Linked DNA regions of Saccharomyces cerevisiae S288C. The protein of the gene in region 2 binds, or shares a complex with, the protein of the main gene of each other region. Each region holds a gene or a part of one and is shown on either strand. Other genes may lie near its edges.

What was found.
Region 1: RXT3 (region 2) and CTI6 share a complex: the UniProt entries of both Saccharomyces cerevisiae proteins name them as parts of the RPD3C(L) complex.
Region 3: RXT3 (region 2) and UME1 share a complex: the UniProt entries of both Saccharomyces cerevisiae proteins name them as parts of the RPD3C(L) complex.
Region 4: RXT3 (region 2) and DEP1 share a complex: the UniProt entries of both Saccharomyces cerevisiae proteins name them as parts of the RPD3C(L) complex.

Annotation. Positions count from the first base shown.
Region 1 is NC_001148.4:201,488-205,497, reverse strand, and holds CTI6 (Cti6p), read right to left. Parts: upstream 2,078-4,010; coding exon 557-2,077; downstream 1-556. Other genes in the region: TCO89 (Tco89p), read right to left, coding at 1-250; tRNA (34-2'-O)-methyltransferase regulator RTT10, read left to right, coding at 2,962-4,010. UniProt on the Saccharomyces cerevisiae protein: Component of the RPD3C(L) histone deacetylase complex (HDAC). Responsible for the deacetylation of lysine residues on the N-terminal part of the core histones (H2A, H2B, H3 and H4).
Region 2 is NC_001136.10:320,168-323,135, forward strand, and holds RXT3 (Rxt3p), read right to left. Parts: upstream 1,386-2,968; coding exon 501-1,385; downstream 1-500. Other genes in the region: 60S ribosomal protein eL31 RPL31A, read left to right, coding at 2,059-2,115, 2,537-2,821. UniProt on the Saccharomyces cerevisiae protein: Component of the RPD3C(L) histone deacetylase complex (HDAC) responsible for the deacetylation of lysine residues on the N-terminal part of the core histones (H2A, H2B, H3 and H4).
Region 3 is NC_001148.4:289,145-292,981, reverse strand, and holds UME1 (Ume1p), read left to right. Parts: upstream 1-1,930; coding exon 1,931-3,313; downstream 3,314-3,837. Other genes in the region: protein phosphatase regulator GIP3, read left to right, coding at 1-165; SPP1 (Spp1p), read left to right, coding at 555-1,616. UniProt on the Saccharomyces cerevisiae protein: Catalytic component of the RPD3 histone deacetylase complexes RPD3C(L) and RPD3C(S) responsible for the deacetylation of lysine residues on the N-terminal part of the core histones (H2A, H2B, H3 and H4).
Region 4 is NC_001133.9:127,542-130,987, reverse strand, and holds DEP1 (Rpd3L histone deacetylase complex subunit DEP1), read right to left. Parts: upstream 1,719-3,446; coding exon 501-1,718; downstream 1-500. Other genes in the region: cystathionine gamma-lyase CYS3, read right to left, coding at 1-189; SYN8 (syntaxin), read left to right, coding at 1,969-2,736; bifunctional N-glycosylase/AP lyase NTG1, read left to right, coding at 2,886-3,446. UniProt on the Saccharomyces cerevisiae protein: Component of the RPD3C(L) histone deacetylase complex (HDAC) responsible for the deacetylation of lysine residues on the N-terminal part of the core histones (H2A, H2B, H3 and H4).

The DNA.
Region 1 (4,010 bases), on a different chromosome or scaffold from region 2:
TAATCGTTCGCTTTCTGAAAAGTGCATCAGAACTCTTGCATTTCTGAGAAACGTTGTGCTTATTAAAATAATCATTATCCAGGGTGCCATCATGTGTTAAAACTCTACGCAAACCTTTGAAGCTTGCGTTACTCTTTGCTCTCGACCTAGTCGAAAACTGTCTAAATGGCTTTGACTGGTGTGATACTGTTGACGCATTAAGAGATGTTACATCAGTGTCTGACTTCAAAGTCCTTCCTCGATGAACCATAATTATAGTTACTCAGTAAGGATATATGATATATCCCAATATCTATGTTTACCTGACCCGTAAATCGATAGAATGTGCTAGTCCATTAGATGTTTGGATTCCTTAATCATCGTGCCAGCCAAATCGCTATACCATCCGCAACTAGCTATCCTTGCGGTTACCCGTACAAGAGTAAGCTCGGTTGATAAAAACAACGTTGAATTAGTCGTTTTTATATCCATATAGATGTATATATATGTATAGATGTGTTTGTTCGCCTCATTACAGTTATACTTTGGTTGAGAATAATATTGCAGTGTTTTGCGTTTATTGAATGGCATTAGTGTTATTTGAATATTTTTTCTCCCATAGTAGTAACTCTCTAGTCAGGTCGTCCATCATTGATAGACTTTCATTATAACCGTTGTAAATCGTATCAACTTTTTCTACGAAATGCTGGTTTTCCACGAATCGTACAAATTCCTCTCGATCAGACTGATCTTCACTCAATTCCCATTGAGTTCTAGAAATGAACTCCAAAATAGCGGATACCCTTCTTCTCATTTCGTTTAATGAGGTCCTTTGAGGGGGTAATCTGGGCTTTACTGGTTTGTCGGTACCTATATCAGCACTCCTTCTATTTTGGTTGGTGTCTGAACTTGTATTGCTTCGACGAGTTCTGTTGCCCTTTCTTGCTGGTTTGGAAACTCTTTTAGAACCCCTCGAACTAGCTTTCCTTGAATCATCCTCAGAAGAAGATATTGAGGTTAGGGGTAGGATGGGTTCATCAGTTTTCTCAGTGTCTTGCGCCGAACCCGTAGAAGATTCCTTTTCTTGACTAGCTTCTTTTTCCACATCATTTGTTTTTTCCATTGATTGCTCTTTCGATGGTCGTAGGCTTTCTTTCATATCATCATTTGTTACCGAGTCCGGTTTGCCTTCCGTTAGCATAACATCCGTTTGTAATCGAGTGGTGCCGTTGTGATTGTCGGTATCACCTTGGTATATATCAGCATCATTTTCATAACTTTCAGGATCTTCTTGATGTGATGTCCTCCTGCTTTCTTTCAAGGCTTTTTCAAGCATTCTTTGATATTGCTTTTCTTCTCTTGCCATGAAAGTTGCCCTTTTTCTATCCAGTAGCTTCTTATCACTATCTCCAGGATCCAGTGAATACTGATCGGTAGAAGCATCATCCATTGAATTCCTCCTCCTCCTTCTACTTGACCTCGTGTTGCCGTCCTTGGCTAATGCTACAGCCGAAGCTTCATCTTCTACTTCATCTTCTTCGTCGCCGATATCGTCGACGTTATCATCGGTATTGCTGGTATTTCTGGGACTTTTCTCTGCTTCATTGGCGGCATGAGATTTACTTGCAGCTGCACTTCGTGCCTTCCTTCTTGATTGCCTCCTTTTCTCTTGCACAGGTTTATAGATTGACCTTGCTTCGCCAGTATCTGTGGTAAAGAGCTGATGTAACTCCGGTCTGCATTGCTCGCACCAATATTTATCAGGTGCGTTGTCTTGAGTAATACTCACACAATAACCGTGCTGCCAGGAACTGCACTGCTCACATTGAATGAAAAATCCGGAGTCATCTGGAGTATCGAGCTCTCCACAGATACAGCGAGTTTCGCCTTCCTCTTCCTCGACTTCCCCCTCTCCACCTTCCATAGGAACATCTTCTTGTTTTACACTTTCTTCCTGTACACTTCCAATCGCCGCCGTTGTTGTCGCTGTTGATGTTGTTGATATAATGTCTGTGGACCCACTAGCAATGACTTCCGCTTTCTCCATATCTTCACTACCCACAACAGGGCCTTTAGGCACTATTGCTGTCGATTCCATTACTCTTCTCTATACTCCTATATGTTTATGCTATCTTTTAGTAAGGTTACGCAAAGTAAACTTCGAAGGAAACAAACTATTGATGGTCTCTGTTGTGAACTTTGTACCCCTGTAAATACCCAGTTACATAAAATTCATATACGAAAACCAACAAGAACAAAAAAGAAAAAACTAATCAACAAAACGTTATTTTTTGATCATGCAGTGAAAAGCCACCAATAGAAAATTGAAAATAGAAAATGCAGCTGATTGTGCTGTGCGGTTTACCTAGTTTACCCATAGCGGAGAAATTTTTCAAAACTAATTGATTACGTTAAAGCCTGTCTGCGACGTGCTCCGTCCTATTTCCGCAAGATGATGAGGGTAATGCCCTTTATAACTGCTCAAAATAAAAAATAACCGCCGAGGTCTTTTTAATTATCAAGGTTATAAGAAGTGCCAGAAGTGGGTGAACTTAACTCAATAAAAAAATATTAGTGACGAACATCTATCAAAAATTGAAAATTGAAGGTACTGCTCAGAGAAACTGAGTCTGGTCTTGCCTACATCTTTAAGAGGAATTTGTTCTGGTGTATTATTTATACAGCCGATAACATTGATGATACTCTCAGGGTCATTTTCACGTAGTCGTGCTTTGGTGAGTTGTATACTACCCTACGTACTTTTCACCGCTTATGTTTTACACTGGGGTCTGAATGATAGATTTAAGCCTAGCATACACATCGGCGTCTCACAAAAAACGACGCTGCTGAAAAAAAAAATGTAAGAAAAAAAAAGTGGAAAAATATGAGCATGAAAAAACTTCTGCTAGCGGACCTCATCGTTATTTAGCTTCTCATTCCCGCCAATTGAAGTTGCTCATTGAAGAAGAATAAGTGATTAAAATGAAGGACTTGTCTCATTATGGTCCTGCGCTATGTGTTAAATTTTACAATGATTATGTTCTAGCTGGTTATGGGCCTTTCATCCATGTCTATGACTATCATTCGGCTACGTTGATTAACAAATGTAGGCTATTTCACTACAATAAAGTTCATGGACTTAGCCTTTCTAGTGAAGGGAAAATTTTGGCCTATGGTGCAAGATCAGTAACAATAGTGGAACTTGAAGACGTTTTAAAGAAAGAGTCATTGGTGGATTTCGAAAGGATTAACTCAGATTGGATTACCGGTGCTACATTCAGCTTTGACAACTTGCAAATATATTTGTTAACATGTTATAATAAAGTGCTAATTTGTGATTTAAATTGTGAAGTTCTTTTTAGGAAGTCTCTTGGGGGAGAAAGATCTATTCTATATTCCGGTATAATTAAAGTTTTCGGTCCGGATAAAGTATATGTTAACGCTGGTACTGTAATGGGCGGTGTTATCATTTGGGACCTGTTCTCGGAGACAAAAATTCATAACTTACTGGGTCATGAAGGTTCTATCTTTTATGTTAATTTAAGCAACAACGGAAGATATGTTGCCAGTTGCTCTGACGACAGATCAATTAGACTGTGGGATTTAGAAACTGGCAAGCAGCTGTCTGTTGGCTGGAGCCATACGGCAAGAATATGGAATTTAATGTTTTTTGATAATGATTCAAAACTAATAAGTGTTTCTGAAGATTGCACATGCCGTGTATGGAACATTATCGAATCACGAGAAAACGTTGCCGAATTATCCATATCTAACGTTTACGAAGTACATTTAATCAAGAGTATATGGGGCGTTGATGTGAAAGACGACGAAATGATAGCTGTAACCTCCGGGAATGATGGTAGGTTAAAGCTGATTGATCTTCTTCAACTGAAGAGACACGGCGATGAAGAAACATCGTTCAGTCTAGATGATATCGCAAAGCAATGTGGCGATATTTTCGAAAAGAATGAAAGTATCAAGGGATTTCAATGGTTTTCATTCGGTGTAATTGCTATCACTTCATTGGGTAA
Region 2 (2,968 bases):
TATAAGACCCGTCCGGTTGAAAAGATAATTGAACAGCCGTAAACCTAATTACAGGAATCGCTCTCAATTGGTAAGATTTACACGATTAGAGCTTGACTTTTGGCAGAGTTTGTCACAGTCCACGTTTTGTTTGGCGCCCTGGGGTCCTTTTCATAAAATATCGTTTACTACCGATTCGGAATTAATATAATCTGAGGGCCCCGAAAATGGCTTAGTTACACATATTATAACCAGTCTAATTAAAAAAGCAAGCACCTAGGACGGCATGTTAATGTATGGAAGAAGAGTATGAATTTGCAGGAGAGTGAGACAACCAAACTATCCAGTTATAGAAACTTATAAAGTGAAGCTTTTGTTATATAGTACAACGCATCGTATATTCCTCAAAGCAATAATACAGAAGTAGCGCAGCAGAATGATATTTTGAATTAAATTAAATACACACATGGCGCCAACTAAGGTTGGAAGGGAAAGAAGGACGACCAATATTATGTCTTTCCTTAGGTCCATTTTAAATTTTTAATATACCCGTTTGGTTCATGAGGTTTATCTCTATCTAGTCTTTGCTTAATGACAATACTATAGATACCGTAACTCAGTCCATCGTGTATAACGGTGGCTTCCGATCCCCATTCCCGCGATGTTATATCAAATCTTTTTACGCTAGGATACTTTTGTAGAGTAGGCAAAAACAACAACTCCACCTCTAGATCAAAAGGTGTGCCTTCCAGTAGGGGAAGGTTACCTGTAACATTATCTTGATTAGTTACATTTACAGGGGTTCTTCTCAATTTGTGAAATGAGCCACCAGAAGGCGCTCCAATTTTGAACCCGCAATGTCTTAAAACTAGTATTGGGTCTGAGTCATCAGAATAGATATCACATCCCCATATCTCATTATTTCTCTTTCTAGGAGATTCTATATTATTGAAACTTGCCTGAATATCTTCATATGTTATTTTTAGCGTTGCAATATTATTGATATTTTGAATACCGATAGCTGGAAGGAACGGTGGTGGAAGAGTGTTGTCATAAAGGTTGTATGGAAAACTGTGCCTGTCTGAGTAACTTGTGGAGTCTTCATCAAAAGACCCTTCTTTGAAACGATTGTAATAAAGTGTACCCAAGTTTTTTAACTTGTTTGGATAGTGTTTCTCAGTGAAAGCAAGAACCGACTGTGAACTTACATTAGGCAGGTCGTAGGCCGAATTTCTGCCGTTTTGGTAATGCATATACTGCTCTGGAAAAGAATGGGTGTTGCTTTCTTGTCCCTCCTCTTGCTTATTTTTTGTTCTCGCCGAATTTAGTAGTGTTTCCTGTAGTTTATATATCTGGGATTGAGTCTCTCTGTACGCCCTATTAGGATCTTGTTCGCTTACCGACATTTTTATCTTATATTGTATTGTTACTTCTCTCAAAAAAAAAACTGCGAGTAAATTTTCCCTTACCTTCGTACTAAAATACCGTTATTTGTCAAAACGCTGTCATGGAATTCTATAGCACTTGATGCCGGAATGGAGATGCTTATTCTTGTGTTCTACATTCATGAAGTGCTGATACTATATTTTGTTTTCCCGAACCTCTCCCCTTCTGGGCCCTTTTTCCATTATTCACAATATTTTCATACCTTTACCTCCGTACACCAATCTTTATTTTTACCCCCATACCTTTGTATTCTGAAATTGAGAAATGATTTGTGGTGCTTTTTTTTTTGGACAATCTGCCTTCGTGGACAGTTTTGAAACGCTAGGCGACAGTTTTGCAACGGAAGGAAGTGGGAGAGCCCAGAAAGGCTTTCTCTCGATGGTGGATCATTCTTGCGCAGGCGGAGGATGGGAAAGCTCCGTTCAGGTTTGCGGCTTTTCTTTCTGGCATTTTCGTTCTCCCAACTGCGCAGGCAGACATAGCTTGACTTTACTCATGCTCGCATTAGGCGGGTTGAATCTCATAGCTTGAAAGATAGTATTGAATTATATTGAAGATTTTATAACTAGTGATAATTTCATTCAAGTTTTAAAGAAAGAATTAATAAGCAAACAGAACTCAATCAAAGGAAAAATGGCCGGTTTGAAAGACGTTGTCACTCGTGAATACACCATTAACTTGCACAAAAGAGTATGTGAAAGAATAAAAATATAATGCCCAAGGGCTTGTCATCTGAATGGTTAATTAAGAAGATATTTCTATAGTCAAGGAATACAATATCAAGAATTTGTACCACAGAAACCTATCAACAAAGATCATTGATCAAGATATATTTTATAATACGGAATTTGAAGACCATAATCAATATTATAACATCCAAGAGGGGAAAGATACACTTCGGCTGGACTTAAAGAGCGATGAAGACAGAAATAGTTATCTTAAATAGTGGAATCCTAGATTTTAAGTCGACAATTATCCATATCCCAAGTTTGACTAAATATGAATCAGAACAAATTGGGTCTCCAATATACAAAACCATTCATCAAGATTACACTAATATTAAAATGAACAATCGTTACTAACAAAAAATTTACCATTTTATTTTTAATAGTTGCACGGTGTCTCCTTCAAGAAGAGAGCTCCAAGAGCTGTCAAGGAAATTAAGAAGTTCGCCAAGTTACACATGGGTACTGATGATGTCCGTCTAGCTCCAGAATTGAACCAAGCTATCTGGAAGAGAGGTGTCAAGGGTGTTGAATACAGATTAAGATTGAGAATTTCCAGAAAGAGAAACGAAGAAGAAGACGCCAAGAACCCATTGTTCTCCTACGTTGAACCTGTCTTAGTTGCTTCTGCCAAGGGTCTACAAACTGTTGTTGTCGAAGAAGATGCTTAAATCAATTAAATAAAAATAATACTCATTTTATATTAATAAATATAAAGTAAACATTTTCGATTTGTATAAATCTCTTGTACTCAAGCCAAGACTTCTGTATTCATTGAAGCGGGGCACTCAGATCAATTTTTATCAATGATATCATCT
Region 3 (3,837 bases), on a different chromosome or scaffold from region 2:
ACACCAGGCGTGGATTCTGATGTATCTGCGCCCAATACCGATAAAGGATCCGTAGAAACATTGCCTGCAGTCTCAACTGACGACCCAAATTGTGAAGTCAAAGTCACTGCTACCTATGACAAACTATTAAATAATTTGTCGATGGAGAGGTCAATCAGACTTTGAAGATACATGAATCCTTCTCTTCACTGATGGATCCATTTTCTTCTTCCTTTTTTTCACTGCATAAAACTTTTTTTATCAACCTTTCATATTTTCCATATTTATTTATATATACCGCCAGTAAATTTGGCGATATTCGATAGACTTAACAGATAAACTTTTTAAGATGAATTAAAGCACAGAGGATTAAGCTTACCTCTTTAGAATCAATTGATATGTTCGGCTACATATTAGACACTGCATATAACCCAAGGCGGGTAAAATATGAACAATTTCAATTGGGCTTTGTAAATGCTTACTTTTAAATGTAAACGAAGCTCATCAGAAGAAAAAAAACAAGAGATTTGGAAAAGGCTACTTCGACCTCAATAATTTCTCAGCCTATCTTTCTAATGTCATTACCACAATGGTGTCCACCGCATTCCACCTTAAAAAGAAATCCAACTACAGGAGAGGACGTATACTGCATATGTAAAAGGCCAGACTATGGGGAGCTGATGGTGGGATGTGATGGTTGTGATGACTGGTTTCATTTCACCTGCCTTCATATTCCTGAGCAGTTTAAGGACCTGGTGTTCTCTTTTTATTGTCCTTACTGTCAAGCGGGGATTACTGGTAAGAATAAGGACGCCATAATCAATGGTGAAGGGAGCTTGCCAAAAACCTTATGGAAAAGAAAATGTAGGATAAGTGATTGCTACAAACCATGTTTACAGGATAGTAAATACTGTTCTGAGGAACATGGTAGAGAATTTGTGAATGATATTTGGTCGCGATTGAAAACAGATGAGGATAGAGCAGTCGTCAAGAAAATGGTCGAACAAACAGGACACATAGATAAATTCAAGAAATTTGGACAACTGGATTTCATTGATAACAATATAGTTGTAAAAACAGATGACGAAAAGGAAATATTCGATCAAATTGTTGTACGAGACATGACGTTAAAAACTCTTGAAGATGATCTGCAAGAGGTTCAAGAGATATCGCTACCATTATTCAAAAAAAAGCTAGAACTTTTGGAAGTATATTTGGGATGGTTAGACAACGTATATACCGAAATGCGCAAGCTGGACGATGATGCTGCAAGCCATGTGGAATGTGGTAAAGAAGATTCCAAGGGGACAAAAAGGAAGAAGAAGAAAAATAGCAGCAGGAGTAGGGCTAGGAAAAATATATGTGGCTATTGTTCTACATACGAGCGAATACCCTGCTCTGTGGAAGAATTTGTCAGAGATTTTGGAAGTAATGAGGAAGCCACCAAAATACATGAGGTATGCACGAAGTGGAAGTGTAACAGACATTTGGATTGGGTGTCTACTAATCAGGAACAATACCTCCAGCAGATTGACTCTTTAGAATCTATGCAAGAAAGGTTGCAACATCTGATACAGGCCAGGAAAAAGCAACTAAATATACAATACTATGAGGAAATTTTAAGAAGAGGTTTGTAACGGCGTTGGAGCCTAATCAAATATCAGTTTCTACATATATATATACTTCGTAGTGATGATATATCAATTGGAGCGTCCTTGCATAGGCAACGCCTATTTGGATAGTCTTCAATTTCGACCCCATTTCACGTGAATAAAGCGGAGCTATCTCTGTTTTGCAAGGGTTCGGCCGATTTTGCTGCGAAATTTTAATAAGCGCATATTGATTTTTTCAAGCAATACTTTGTATATTCATGATCGAATGAATGAAAAAGCACCACTCCTCAGCCGCATACCTTCAGTATCGTATTTATTTCCTTCTTTAATCACTTAAAATGAGCACTTTAGATATTGCAGAAGACAACAAAATAAAAAATGAAGAATTCAAAATTTGGAAAAAATCAATACCCTCATTATACCAACATATTTCAAGTTTGAAGCCTATCTTTGGCTCAGGCGTTGACGAATCTCCATCGACACTTAGGAGTATAGTTTTCACTAACGATAGCTCATGTAATAAATCCAAAGGTGTTTTGAGCGTACCACTTTTATATTCTCAAGGGAGTGAAATCTTTGAGGTGGATTGTATAGTGCCACTCGGACTTCATTACAAAAAACCTGAAAGCATTTCAGAACCGTTAGTACAACCGGATTATACCATGGAATCTCAAAAGGTGGAGCAGACTGTTTTGATTCCAAAATGGGAATTTAAAGGTGAAACGATTGCAAAGATGATTTACGTGGATAACAGCGAAATAAATGTAAAGGTGATAGCCCTTTCTACCAATGGTTCTTTGGCATGGTTCAGAGAAGGTGTCAAATCGCCCGTTTACACAATGATGGAGCCATCCACTTCTCTAAGTTCAGCATCGTCCGGAAATCAAAATAAACCCTGTGTTGATTTTGCAATTTCTAACGATTCAAAAACCTTAACAGTAACTAAGGAAAAACATCTTGATAATGAAAACGCTACAATAAAATTGATAGACAACTCAGGTAAAATAGGAGAAGTGCTTCGTACAATACCTGTTCCTGGCATAAAGAATATTCAAGAAATCAAGTTTTTGAATAATCAAATATTCGCCACTTGTTCTGATGACGGTATCATAAGGTTTTGGGGTAATGAGATAGGCAAAAAGCCCCTTTGGATTCTAAACGATTCTTTGGACGGCAAAACAACTTGTTTTGCTGCATCACCGTTTGTTGATACATTATTTATGACGGGAACTAGTGGTGGGGCTCTCAAGGTTTGGGATATACGTGCAGTTATCGCTTTAGGGGATGCTGATGCTGAGTTAAATATCAACCAAGGACATAATAAAGTCAATGAACTATTCAAAGTTCATCACTTTTATAGCGAGCAAGTGTCCAAAATAGAGTTTTCTTCCATTTCGCCTATGGAAGTGGTTACAATTGGAGGGTTAGGTAATGTTTACCACTGGAATTTCGAACCTGTTTTTGCCATTTATAACGAGATACATGAGGACTTTCAAGGCATAATATCTGACGAATTGGAGGCCGAAAGCATGGCATTTTATCACACTGAGGGCTGCAGAAGAGAAATAGGAGAAAATAATAAGGTTAATACCGTTGCTTATCACAAATACATTGAGGATCTAGTTGCTACAGTTGATAGTGACGGGTTGTTAACTGTATATAAGCCGTTTACTGGAAAAGTTTTAGATGGCAGTAGAGAGGTTGGAGCTGCCAAAAGTTAATTTTTATATTATTTAGGCTGTTTGAGTTTGGGGCGGAAATGTATGAATAAATTGTGTAATATTTAGTCTTTACTTCAGCTTTTGTTTTTCTAAAAATTTGTTTTTAATGTTTTATTGTCTGAAGTAAACATTAATTATTAGCTTGAGAATTGCTCTACATGTATATATAAACGGCAAGGATCTACTCTTTAATATAGAGAAATGTACATACCTTTGAAAACGCGTTTTCAGAGTTTAGAATGTATAAGGTAACCTTAGAACCACATCTCTTATTGCCAGACTCTCAAAGGTGAACTGATATTGAGCCTATTTTACCCTTGTTTATGTTCACTTTCTCAATGCGAAAAAAAATCAAAAAGAAATAAACTTTATCCTTAGAGTTGAAGAATTAGAAAGAGAATAAATCAAAGGGATCAGTTGGGAAAGCTCAATACTTTCCGCTTAATTTTACTGAAAACCTCATCAAACACGTAGGCACATATATATTCATATATTTATATGTTGGCTACCTTCTAATTTGCATG
Region 4 (3,446 bases), on a different chromosome or scaffold from region 2:
TCTTTCCAAGTTCTCTCTGTTAGGATTTTGAGATCTGGAGTATTCGTAAGTACCGATAGGGTTAGCTGGAGAAGATTGTTTGAAAGTGGTGGACAAAGAAATGGGTTCGATCACGGAACCGTGAACGTCCACATGTTCACCGGCATGAATGGCCTTGGTAGCAAATTTATCAGATTCTTGTAGAGTCATATTTTTTTTGGTTTTGTCTTGTGTGTATATGTATAAGGTGCAAATGTCTATGTGTATAGGCCTCAATTGTACTTTCAAAATTCAATCTGGCACGGCACAAGTTCCATCTACCTGGCATCTTATGCTTTAAATAACTGAAATATTTTTTTCTTTTCTTTTCCTCGAGGATTTTTATGGAAAAAAAAGTGTGGCGCCACAACTGGCTGAGATCACGTGAATGGCTAATTATTAGTAATGAAGGGTGGAATTACATAGCGTTACAACATATTTAAGAATAACAAAAAGAAGTGGTATGGGGTCCAGTGTGGCGGTCACTGGGCCCACTGGTGGAAGTCGTCGTTGATTTCGGAGTCTCTAAGCGGGTTCAACTCAGGAGCACCCGGGAAGGAGTGGAAATATTTGCGCAGGCCTTCGAGGTCGCTAATCTCGTTATTGAGCCTCATTCGGTCCACAATGACTTCGAGTTTGTCCACCGGGTTGGCTCTGTAGCGGTACTCGATGCTTTCGCAAGCGAGGTCCTCTGCCACGGGCTCGCCGGGATAGCACAGCTGTGCTGCGCTGGCGTAGCCCGTGATACAGCTCAGCGTCTTGTTATCAAGTTTGATGGGGACGTGGTAATTGACATCTGGGATGACTATATCCATATCGCGGCGCTCCTTGTTGATATCGTACCAGGTCTGCGTGGTTCTGTTCAGCAGCCTGGCTCGCAGGTCGGTGACCTTCTTGTGGAAGTCCTGGTGAATGAATGTCCTGGTAGCGATTGTTTCTGTGTTGATGCATGAAAGCTCGTACTTCTGTCGCTGGTACGCTCGGTGTAGCTTGTAGTCACGGATCGCGGCAATCTTCGAGTAGTAGACCTGCAATTCCGGGTGTGACCCTTCCAGACACATCTGCAGCTCCGTTTGCAACCGCACCAATTGATTGTCATATAGTTTTTGGCGCAATTGCGCGAACTTGTACTCGATGTCGGTGATTTCCTTCAGCGCAGTCATCCTCTGTTCCTCCATTTCGATGGGGGAGGGCATCACCAGCGCAGGCGGTGCTGTATGCTCGTTTTCGTTTTCATTATCCTCCTCGTTGTTTTCCTCCTCATTATCACCTTCGTCCCCTTGCTCGTCCCTGGCGTCGGTGCTCTTCTCCTTGCTGTCAATTGCCTCTTCCAGTTCTTGACTCTTTTCCTCTTCCTTGCTTTCGTCCTCGTTCTCTCCCGGCACTTTCATCTTCTTGGCCTCATCTATCGCCTCTTTCTCATCTTCGTGTGGTCTTTTCAAGCTCTCGGTGAGCGTCTCTTGCTTCACCAGGCTGGATAGCTTGGGAGCGTATTTCAACTCCGGCAGATTGGCCAACGACTTCTCCTCGTCGCTATCCATCTTCTCTGTTCCTGCGTCACTGGATATACAGTATTCCGATAAATTCAAATTGTGATTCAAATCCGTATTGAAGTCAATGTTGCTCAACACGCTCTCTTGATCAAGGTCCTGTTCTTTCGCTGTGGTCTGTTCACTTTCCTGTGGTGTTTGCTGACTCATCTGCCACGATCGATGCGCCTCCTCTTGCTTCTGTGCTTCCTTCCCTTGTACTTTGCCGTTGCACTGTTATGAGTTTATTATTTCTAAAAATCATTTTATAAGAATAAAATTTCCCAGCACGACTTTGATCACCCGAAAGGGCAAAAACAAGTAAAGAACAAGAAATAAATGCTGAGACTTTACAATGGAAAACGAATAAAGCATAGAGACAGATCTCACGACAGCAAATAGATGCGTAAGCACACACGGTATGGATGTGTTGAAGCTGGGTTATGAACTGGACCAGCTCTCTGATCTGGTCGAAGAAAGAACAAGGCTAGTGTCGGTGTTGAAGCTCGCCCCGACCTCAAACGATAACGTTACTTTGAAACGGCAATTGGGCTCAATATTGGAGTTATTGCAGAAGTGTGCGCCCAATGATGAACTAATATCCCGATACAATACCATACTGGACAAAATTCCTGATACGGCGGTTGACAAGGAGTTGTATAGGTTCCAACAGCAGGTGGCAAGAAATACTGATGAGGTGTCCAAAGAGTCTTTGAAAAAAGTGCGGTTCAAGAATGATGACGAGCTTACGGTCATGTATAAGGATGACGATGAACAAGACGAGGAGTCGCCGCTGCCTTCGACGCATACTCCATACAAGGATGAACCATTGCAATCGCAGTTACAGTCACAGTCACAGCCACAGCCACCACAACCCATGGTTTCCAACCAAGAACTATTTATTAACCAGCAACAGCAGTTGTTAGAGCAAGATTCCCACTTGGGCGCACTGTCTCAGTCTATTGGGAGGACTCATGACATTTCGCTGGACCTTAATAATGAGATCGTTTCTCAGAACGACTCGCTGCTGGTTGATTTAGAAAACCTGATTGATAATAATGGTAGGAATTTGAACAGGGCCTCTCGGTCCATGCATGGCTTTAACAATTCTAGGTTCAAGGATAACGGCAACTGCGTGATTATTCTTGTGCTGATAGTGGTGCTCCTGTTGCTTCTATTAGTATTATAACATTATATTCTGTTTTTTAGGCTCGAATACGAAGTTTGGTTTTGATCTTTTTTTTTTTCTTTTTCTTTCACTTAGTAATAACCTCCTCTTTAATGATTCATCATATATTTGTATCTATATATACTTTATAGCCCAAAAAAAAAAAAAATATGCAAAAGATCAGTAAATACTCATCTATGGCAATTCTGAGGAAAAGACCGCTGGTAAAGACTGAAACTGGGCCAGAATCAGAACTCCTACCGGAGAAAAGGACCAAAATCAAACAAGAAGAGGTTGTCCCTCAACCCGTGGATATCGACTGGGTTAAATCGCTGCCAAATAAGCAGTACTTCGAATGGATTGTGGTTAGAAACGGCAATGTGCCCAACAGGTGGGCCACACCATTGGACCCCTCGATCCTTGTCACTCCGGCCTCGACGAAAGTCCCTTACAAGTTTCAAGAAACATACGCTAGAATGCGAGTACTGAGATCTAAGATTCTAGCCCCCGTCGATATAATTGGTGGATCATCCATTCCTGTAACGGTTGCCTCTAAGTGTGGTATCTCGAAAGAGCAGATATCACCGAGGGACTACAGATTACAGGTCCTTCTTGGGGTGATGCTATCATCGCAAACAAAAGATGAAGTTACCGCAATGGCAATGCTTAACATAATGCGGTATTGTATAGACGAACTGCACAGCGAAGAAGGTATGACATTAGAGGCCGTT